Linked DNA regions of Neurospora crassa OR74A. The protein of the gene in region 1 binds, or shares a complex with, the protein of each later gene. Links are inferred from orthologs where the notes say so. Each region holds a gene or a part of one and is shown in the gene's direction. Other genes may lie near its edges.

What was found. Proteins that work in one complex are often made in the same cells at the same time.
Region 2: the proteins of rpt-5 (region 1) and pca-6 are in contact, whole or in part, in a cryo-EM structure (PDB 6EF2), measured with the Saccharomyces cerevisiae proteins. The link is inferred for Neurospora crassa OR74A from reciprocal best matches to the Saccharomyces cerevisiae genes RPT5 and PRE5. Residues at the interface, in NP_014760.3 of Saccharomyces cerevisiae: Asp373, Asn375, Glu378, Asp384, Asn405, His412, Glu413, Glu417, Ser427, Ser429, Val430, Phe432, Tyr433, Ala434; in NP_014045.1 of Saccharomyces cerevisiae: Arg18, Gln31, Gly32, Ser33, Arg51, Gln60, Lys62, Leu74, Ala75, Gly76, Leu77, Ala78, Arg164, Gln166, Thr170, Arg202.

The regions. Positions count from the first base shown.
Region 1 is NC_026504.1:3,449,946-3,454,639, reverse strand, and holds rpt-5 (regulatory particle, ATPase-like-5 protein), read left to right. Parts: upstream 1-1,481; 5' UTR 1,482-1,784; coding exon 1,785-2,095; intron 2,096-2,174; coding exon 2,175-2,590; intron 2,591-2,655; coding exon 2,656-3,290; intron 3,291-3,349; coding exon 3,350-3,370; 3' UTR 3,371-3,847; downstream 3,848-4,694. Other genes in the region: NCU04413 (UPF0132 domain-containing protein), read left to right, coding at 210-712, 786-947, 999-1,053. UniProt on the Saccharomyces cerevisiae protein: The 26S proteasome is involved in the ATP-dependent degradation of ubiquitinated proteins. The regulatory (or ATPase) complex confers ATP dependency and substrate specificity to the 26S complex.
Region 2 is NC_026505.1:4,357,882-4,362,163, reverse strand, and holds pca-6 (proteasome component PRE5), read left to right. Parts: upstream 1-1,861; 5' UTR 1,862-2,334; coding exon 2,335-2,372; intron 2,373-2,491; coding exon 2,492-2,603; intron 2,604-2,709; coding exon 2,710-3,357; 3' UTR 3,358-3,528; downstream 3,529-4,282. Other genes in the region: NCU06714 (para-aminobenzoic acid synthetase), read left to right, coding at 1-288; NCU06713 (vacuolar protein sorting protein 55), read right to left, coding at 923-1,056, 1,159-1,411; NCU06711 (hypothetical protein), read right to left, coding at 3,689-4,275. UniProt on the Saccharomyces cerevisiae protein: The proteasome degrades poly-ubiquitinated proteins in the cytoplasm and in the nucleus. It is essential for the regulated turnover of proteins and for the removal of misfolded proteins.

The DNA.
Region 1 (4,694 bases):
TTCCAAAATACAACCACTAACGAGCAACGGCCGGAACGAAGAGACGATAACGAGTTACGGGACCACCACGTAAGGATACGATACATACCTGACACAAGGACACGCTCTTACAAATCGAAACGAGCATTCCAATAATCGCACACGAGATTTCCTAACCTACTACACATCACAACTGTCTCAGGAAAGGCAAAACAAGAACAAACAAAACAATGGACTTCGCACCTTACCAAGCCGCACCCCCGGAGCATGGGCGCACCATCTCACCACCCGACTCCACCTCCTCCCCACGCACATCATGGGACTACGGCCGCCGTTCTTCCTACTCCCCCAGCAGCGGAAACAAGTACCAACAGCGCCCAGCGCAAGTATCGCCTCCGCCACTTCTACACCCACAACCACATCGTGCTTGGTCGGGTGAGGGCATCAGCAGGTATCAAAGTCCGAGTGCTACTCCTGGCACCGCCAATGGGATCGGCAGTGGCATTGGGTTCAACAGTAGGAACGGCAGTGGTGGTGGAGGAGGAGGAGGAGGAGTAGGAGGAAGCATGGGCGAATATTTCAATGCGCTGGGCGCTCGAGAGGGGATGGTGTCCGAGTTTGATACGAGCTTGGGACTGAGGCTGGATTATGAGGCGTGTTTGGCGTATTTGGCAGTGCCGCCGCTGGGAGCGATTTTGCTGTTGATTTTGGAGCGGAAGAGTGATTATGTCAGGTGAGTGAAACAAGACCCATCTCTCGGTATGGTCGAGGAGTTAGCGTTGCTGACATGTGGAACTGGGGATTAGGTTCCACGCATGGCAGTCCAGTCTGCTGTTTACGGCATTGTTTGTGCTTCATTTGTTGATTTCTTGGTCGAGTTTCCTTAGCTGGCTGTTATTTCTGGCGGATTTGGCGTTGGTAGGATGGCTGGTTATTAATGCTTATAGGGACGCCGACACGTTAGACAGGTATGTCTTCCGGGATCCAAACGAGTGGACAAAAGCTGACTTGGTTTCCAGATACGAAGTACCGATTTTTGGGCCGATAGCAAGCGGGATCTTGGACGACGAGTAGACGACTGTGGTTATTGGGGCTCAAACGCATCAGGATCAGTCCGGCATCGTGGTTGTCCTGGGAGAGTTGATACTTGACACTTGACGAGAGGTGTGAATACGGCCTTCTCGTACTCTAATGTAATGCGCTGGTATATTTTTAGTCCGATGAGGGATGTATCGAATCAATTCCTGTGTTATCGAGCCGCTTCCCCGTAAGGGACTAGCTCAAGGGTTTTGGTCAACTCCGTTTAAGACTTCATGAACATCGAAATTGAGTGAAGCACAGCAGATGAATGATCGTGCAGTGAAACTCGACTGAATTGAAACCGTGAACCTGGATGGCCGATGCCGCGTGGTTAGTCAGCTGTGGCTGGTTCACTCTGGGGTCAGAGTGGGGTCTAGAGCTGAAGTACTATGTACATACTGTGGGGCGTTAGGTACCCGGCCTTGTTACGTCGCGCTTTTGCCTGCAGCCCAGCTCCTGGTCAACCACCGACAGCACTCGAAGCTCTGTGCCGCATGTCGACCACGCAACTGCCACCATCCACGCAGCACTGCACTACAAGCACGACCGCCGGTCTCCCAACCACAACGCAAACAACGGCGATTTTCATCACTAACCACCACTACTACTCCACGTCGTCGTTTCAAATTCCGTGGAGATTACATACAGAGGATCAGTAACCCGATCTCTGCGCCCTTGCGACTTTCCCTACCGATACCCCACATTCGCACCCGTCTGCGTCAGCCATGTCGACCCTTGAGGAACTCGACGACCTCGATCGCCGTGAGCGCGAGGACAAGAAGAAGGATCAGGACAAGGATAAGAACAACAAGAAAGAGGGAGATGGCGATGCCGAGATGAAGGATGCCGAGCCCGAGGCCGATGACATCCTAGATGAGGAGATCCTGAGTTTGAGCACAGAGGACATCCTGATGCGGAAGCGCCTCCTCGAGAACGATGCCAGAATCATGAAGAGCGAATACCAGCGGTTATCACATGAGAGGGCTACCATGAAGGACAAGATCAAGGAGAACCAAGAAAAGATTGCCAACAACCGGTAAACATTCCCCCTACACTCCCCTAAGGTTTGCCTTCAGTAGCCGCGAAACCTCCCCTACTAACGCTGGCCTCATCAGACAACTTCCGTATCTCGTAGGAAATGTCGTTGAACTTTTGGACCTTGACCCGACCGCCGAGTCCTCCGAAGAGGGCGCCAACATCGACTTGGATGCCACGCGCGTGGGTAAATCGGCAGTCATCAAGACATCGACCAGACAGACCATCTTTCTCCCTCTCATCGGCTTGGTCGACCCCGAGAAGTTGAAGCCCGGCGATCTCATCGGTGTTAACAAGGATTCGTACCTTATTCTGGATACGTTGCCCGCCGAGTACGACAGCAGAGTCAAGGCTATGGAGGTCGACGAGAAGCCTCAGGAGAAGTACACAGATGTCGGTGGTCTCGACAAACAGATTGACGAACTTGTCGAGGCTATTGTGTGGCCTATGAAGGAAGCCGAACGGTTTAAGAAGATCGGTATCAAGGCGCCCAAGGGTATGTCTTCACCAAGATGGAGCAGAAACTCGCTGCTGTGGTATTGCTGCTAACTTCAGGAATAGGAGCTTTGATGTACGGACCTCCCGGAACAGGCAAGACTTTACTTGCCAGAGCTTGCGCCGCTCAGACAGATGCCACATTCCTCAAGCTTGCTGGCCCCCAGCTAGTGCAGATGTTTATCGGAGACGGTGCCAAGCTCGTAAGGGACTGCTTCGCCCTAGCAAAAGAGAAGGCCCCGTCAATTATCTTCATCGACGAGTTGGATGCCGTCGGTACCAAGCGTTTCGACAGCGAGAAGTCCGGCGATCGTGAAGTCCAGCGAACCATGTTGGAGCTCCTCAACCAGCTCGACGGTTTCGCTTCTGACGACCGTATCAAGGTTCTCGCCGCGACGAACCGTATCGACGTCCTCGACCCCGCTTTGCTTCGTTCCGGTCGTCTTGACCGCAAGATCGAGTTCCCTCTTCCGAACGAGGAGGCACGCGCACAGATTCTCAAGATTCATTCCAGGAAGATGAAGGTCAACCCCGGCGTTAACTGGGGCGAGTTGGCGCGCAGCACGGATGAGTTTGGCGGTGCCATGCTGAAGGCTGTGTGTGTCGAGGCTGGCATGATTGCCCTCCGTATGGGCAAGAATCAGATTGGACACGAACACTACGTTGACGCTATTTCTGAGGTGCAGGCCAAGAAGAAGGAAGTGAGTATTTTCCCCAAGACAACCAATGCTTGTGTGCTGCTTACTGACCACGCGTTCAGACCGTCAACTTCTACGCTTAATGTTATTGCATTTCCTACCGTACTGAAAGCGACGACCGAACTACGGCAAACAGCAAGGTCATGGACGGTTCATAGAAATTTGGCATGCAATAGAGCTAGCGTTGGGTTGGGCATGTCTTGTATCATAATGAAGCGTTTTACCCCGATGACTTGCCATGCCATCCAAATTCTCGATAACCCAGAGGCTTGATGACTCTGATGAACAATGTTTGCTGGCCTTCTTGTTAACTTACTGTTACGTTGCCTACCCGATACTCTCATTCTAGAGGGTGAAACGGTTTCCAGTCCGCCGGTTTCGCTGCCCCGATATTGTCCTGGTAAAACTGAAATGTTAAGTATAGCATCAAACAGATTTCACGGGTTTCCGTATGTGGTCCGTTGACAATGTGACCACCTGTTGTTTGATTTTGATCATTCTTCAATATCATCTTGCATTTCGTCCTTGAGTTGCTACACCAGTGGTTTGCTGCTTCTACGACGACTCATTTATTGATTTTCGAGCGGGTCTTCCATAGTGTGGATTTACTTACCTTTTTTTCGTGGCTCAAGATGTGAACTGTACAAAGTACAACCGATTGCAACTCGCTCCTGATGATCCAAAGCTTGGTCCTCAAAACTAAACCGATCAAGACCTGCAGCTTGAATGAAGATCCAGGTGTCGGTCGTCTGCCAGAAAGATCTCTCATGGTTCAAACACTGACTTCGAATTTTCACCATATTTTTCAGAATTCCGCATGATTCTGGCATCCGCGTTAGAGCACCATCCCTCATAGTTGGTATCCGACAAACCCGAAGTACTCCGTTAGAACAACACAACCACTCTTCCTCTTCGCTACCGCCAATACGTAGCATATCAAATATTGGAACGACCAAAACAGAATATCACTATAGGACGCCAGGGGGGTTCTGTGAAAACGACCCTCGAAATGCTCTAGTAACCTTAACTTTTGTCAATTGTGAAGGATTGTGGTTCAACGATGCTCGAGCGAACATCTGCCTCGCTGAGGAGTTCAGTGCAAGATGTGCCCTGGCATGCATCAATATCAGTCCATCCCGTTATTCCTGCCGAGTACAGACATCTTTTGAGACACTTGACAGTTCCCTGCACAGGTGACTGCAGAGCATAACGTGGCATCTCGATATCGGATGATCTCTCAAACGGCCCTGAATTCTGCAAGCGTTGAAAGGTGAACCGAGATGAGTGGTGACTGAAACGGTGGTCGCAAATCCTCACAGCATCACACTCGGCTACCCGTCAGGGTTCCCCCTCCCCAACGAATATCAAACCTTATTTCCGCAGTTCACACTAATTTAGAGACATTGT
Region 2 (4,282 bases), on another chromosome or scaffold:
CAAATTGAGCAGAACAGTGAGCGCAGTTTGTACTCGGGTGTTGTTGGCTACATGTGTGTCAGCGGCAGAGGAGATTGGAGCGTGACGATCCGAAGTCTGTTCCGGTGGGACGATGAGCGGGTAACTGTGCAGGGACAAGGAGAAGATGGCCAGAGTGAGGAAGAACATGAGGTGTGGCATATTGGCGCTGGAGGAGCGGTTACCATTCTGAGTACCCCTGAGGGTGAGCGGGAGGAAATGTTTACGAAACTCGCTGGGCCGTTGAAGGTGTTTGCGGAGCTGGGTTAGACTCGATGAATTGGTGAGAGACAGAGGGTGAGGGGGGGTTCTATGGCGAGCAGAGCTGGTCTGCGGCCAGAGGCTGTGGAAGAAAGGGAAGACGTGAAACAAAAGCAAGATAACTTCATCATTTTGGGCCCAAGCGTGCGTTAGGGTTAGAAGAACACGATATCCAACATATCTAGGGTGTCGTCTTGGTGTCAAGGTTAAAATGGGTTGGAGTTTTGTGGCTGTTATATTAGCTCAACGGATGCATACCTTACGGCGGGATTAGAAAGTAGACTTTTCAACGCGAAGCATTGCAAGTGGAGAGAAAGAAGACGTCAAGCCCTCTCGCTAGATGATTGATCACGGCATAAAATAACCCCATAACTGTCTCGTAATAATCCAAATCCAGCCCAGCCCATAAGCGCTTCATCAGCCAGTGCCCGCCTCTTTCCCGAAACCCATTTGATCATATCCCATAGCTGTCATCCGGCTCAAGTCCCGGCACTTGTACAATCATGGTCTCCCACCATGCGTAAATCGGTTCCGCACCCAACCGTTGTTCGGAAGTCGCTACCTCTTTGTAGTTCTGTGTCATTGTTGTGTGTGTCTCAGACTCTGGACCATTCTGTCGTAGTCGAAATTATTGGTCGGCTAGTCAGAAGTCTTGCTCTTCCTGGAAGAACATGGCGAAGCTGATAATGGTGCCATAGATCAACAGGCCACCGATAACGGACATGATCATGGCCGGGACCGTGATGATGGCCGAGTTTGCGAGAACAACTGGAAGAGCTGTTTGTCGAAGAGGGGAGGAGAGAGATGTCAGCTACCGTACATGCAACACAACACAAACACAGGATACACGCCAGCCACAAGATGGAGGAGTAAACCTACCAAGTCCCATCATGACCAGGAAACCAGTGCAGAAGCGACCCAGATCCAACACCGCAGCGCCCGAGCTCTCAACAAAGTCGTCCGGATTGGCGCAATGGCTGCAGATCCAGTTGGGTATGGGCGCCAACACGTAGGTGGCCACCACCAGCAGCGGGTAGTATGCCTTCCATAGTGCGCATGACAAGATGACGAGGAGGAAGCCCACCGCCAAGACGAAGGAGAGCGCGATGATGGTCTTGAGTCCTGCTGCCATCTCGGGTGGATATGTGAAAGCTTCTGGTTGCGAAGGCGTTCAAGTTTTGGGCACAGTTGAAATCAGGGCGTCGTTTACGCCGGTAACCCGGAGAATCTGCCCAGGTAGAGTCGGAGTGTCGCGGGCCTGCCGGGATCAAAGGTGTTTGTTGCGCAGACGTGGCTAACTGGTAATCGATGGAAATGTAGTGTAAGCGCTGCCTGCTGTTTTTTGTGATCGAGAACCTGACAAACTATCGCGTGGGTTACTCGGCTTGCGCGCTTCGTCGATTCGTTGCTGTAGCAGGCGACAACTCGTGATGGTGGTGATGCAGTGTGCTTCCAGGTTGTGGTGGAGAGTTGCCCGTGTCGTTGGAGGAGCTCCAGCGAGCGGGAACAAGTGACGACTGCCCGCACTGACGCTTTGGCTGTCGTCAGTCAGCCTCTTCCTGGCTCTCGCTCAGCGCATTCCGTTCCATACCTACCTCTACCTATGTAGCGCGCACCTGGCCGCCCGCACTTACACTACAAGTCCTATAAGGTGAGTACAAGCAAAAGTGGGTCTGACTTTCTTTTGGCGGGCAAGGGAGGTACCTGCAGCGACGTACCAGTTGCCTGCCCGCCCGCGCGTTGCCTGTTCCCGCCCTCCGTCACCCAACATCCATCCTCATTGCCTGGGCGGCGGGACCTGACGAAGCTAGGAGCTGCCTGCGCAACTGCCCGCGGGAGGAAGCAACCACTGTCCACTGACCTCCCCCCATCCATCCCACCCAGACTACCTCTACACCACCACCATCGTCACTATCAGCACAAACAACAATCTTTCGCGTCCTCCAAACACCCGCCAGAAGAAACCGACGAGATACTTGCCGGCAAAAATCCCCGATACCCCCGCCGCAATCTGCTCTTGTTTCCCAGTCTCCTCGATAGAGGTGTCCAGCAGCCATGTTCAGGAACAACTACGACAACGACTCGGTCACATTGTAAGCGAAGCTGTCCCGCAGCCGCCAGCTAGACTGGGGGCCCTGCTTCCAAACGCCCAAAGCTCTGCACTTGACGAGGTCTGCCCTCGACATTCAGCTAACAACTGCTTTCCCTCCAGCTCTCCGCAAGGGCGAATTTTCCAGGTCGAATATGCGGCGGAAGCAGTAAAGCAGGGTTCGGTGGTGGTGGGAATTGCTAGCAAGACACACGCCGTCCTGGTAGCGATCAAGGTACTTCGCCCCGACCACCCCTCGCGCACCACCCTGCCGATACATGTATCCTCCCATCCATCCTAGGGCCAAGTGAAGCTGACCATGTTCCTGTCACTTTGTCCAGCGTAACGCCGAAGAACTCTCATCGTACCAAAAGAAGCTCTTTCCCATCGACGAACATGTCGGCATCGCCATCGCCGGCCTCACCTCGGACGCGCGCGTCCTCTCCAACTTCATGAAGCAGCAGTCCCTCGGCCACCGCCTCACGTACGGCCGCAACATGCCCGTGCGGACCCTTGTCGACATGATCGGATCCAAGGCGCAGATCAACACGCAACACTACGGTAAGCGGCCCTACGGTGTCGGTCTCCTGGTCGCCGGCGTTGACGACCACGGCCCGCACCTTTTCGAGTTCCAGCCCAGCGGCATGACCGAGGAGATGGTGGCCTTTGCCATTGGCGCCCGCAGCCAGATGGCGCGCACATATTTGGAGAAGAACCTAGAGGCCTTTGCCGACTGCGGCCGCGAGGAGCTGATTCGTCATGGTCTCAAGGCGCTCAAGGAGAGCCTGGTGCAAGACCGCGAGTTGACCATCGACAATACCAGCGTCGCCATTGTGGGTGTCGAGAAGCAGGAGGACGGCACGACCAAGCCGCAGCCATTCATGGTGTACGATGGACAAGACGTCAGCGCATGGATAGAGAGTGTGGCGGATAACCAAGAGGCTGCCCCGGCAGCTGCCGAGGGCGAGGGTATGGATGTCGATAGCTAAAGGTTGAAAATGTGGGGTTTGCTTTGAGGCATAGGTGCAGATTTAGCACATGGAGCGCATACACCCGGAATGAAGTAATGAGATGAACAAGTCCCCTTTATGTTAATGCATTGTTTTGTGTCTACTGACATCATGACGCGAATCCCACCGATCAAGCAAACTGGTACACTAAGAGCTTTAGAATGATGGCCCAGCCTGAGAAACAGGACCCCTGAACGCCGTCGTCCATCCAGAAAGAAGCTGCGCGATGCAAGGTAACAGCAACTGCTTTCCCAAGCAGGAAAGGGAAACCTCAAGCAAACGATCTTCCCTCGTCTCCTACCCCCCATGCCTACTCATCACTCCAGTTCAGCTTGAAAACCGCCTCGGACACCTTATACTCCCTCAGCGCCTTGATTGCATCCTCCGGGTTCTTCGCCTCCACCATGATCTTTCCATTCGCCTGGTTCACAAATCCCTCTTGGATGCTGTTCTGGATCCAGTGCAGAATACCGTCATAAAAGCCGTTGATGTTGAGCAGGACGATGCCCTTGTCGTGGATGCCCAGCTGGTTCCACGTCACCGTCTCGAACAGCTCCTCCATGGTGCCGTAGCCGCCACTCAGGGCGATGAAGCCCGATCCGGGGCCGCCCGCTAACACCTCCTGCGCCATCATCATCTTGCGCGTGTGCATGTCCTTGACGATGGTCGTTCGGCCAAAGACGTTCTCATCAGGGACGGGAAGCTTCTTGGCCTTTGCCTCCTCGTCGGCAGCGGAATCCTTCTGGCCGCCGCTCACCTGGGTGGACGTGTAGTGAGGGTCGCGCTCGTACCGGACCAGAGCCTCGGGGATGATGCCGTGGACGGAGTCAGGGCCGGACAGGGAAACAAGGGTCTTGGCGATTTCGCCCATGAGACCGACTGTGCCACCACCGTAGACTGTGAC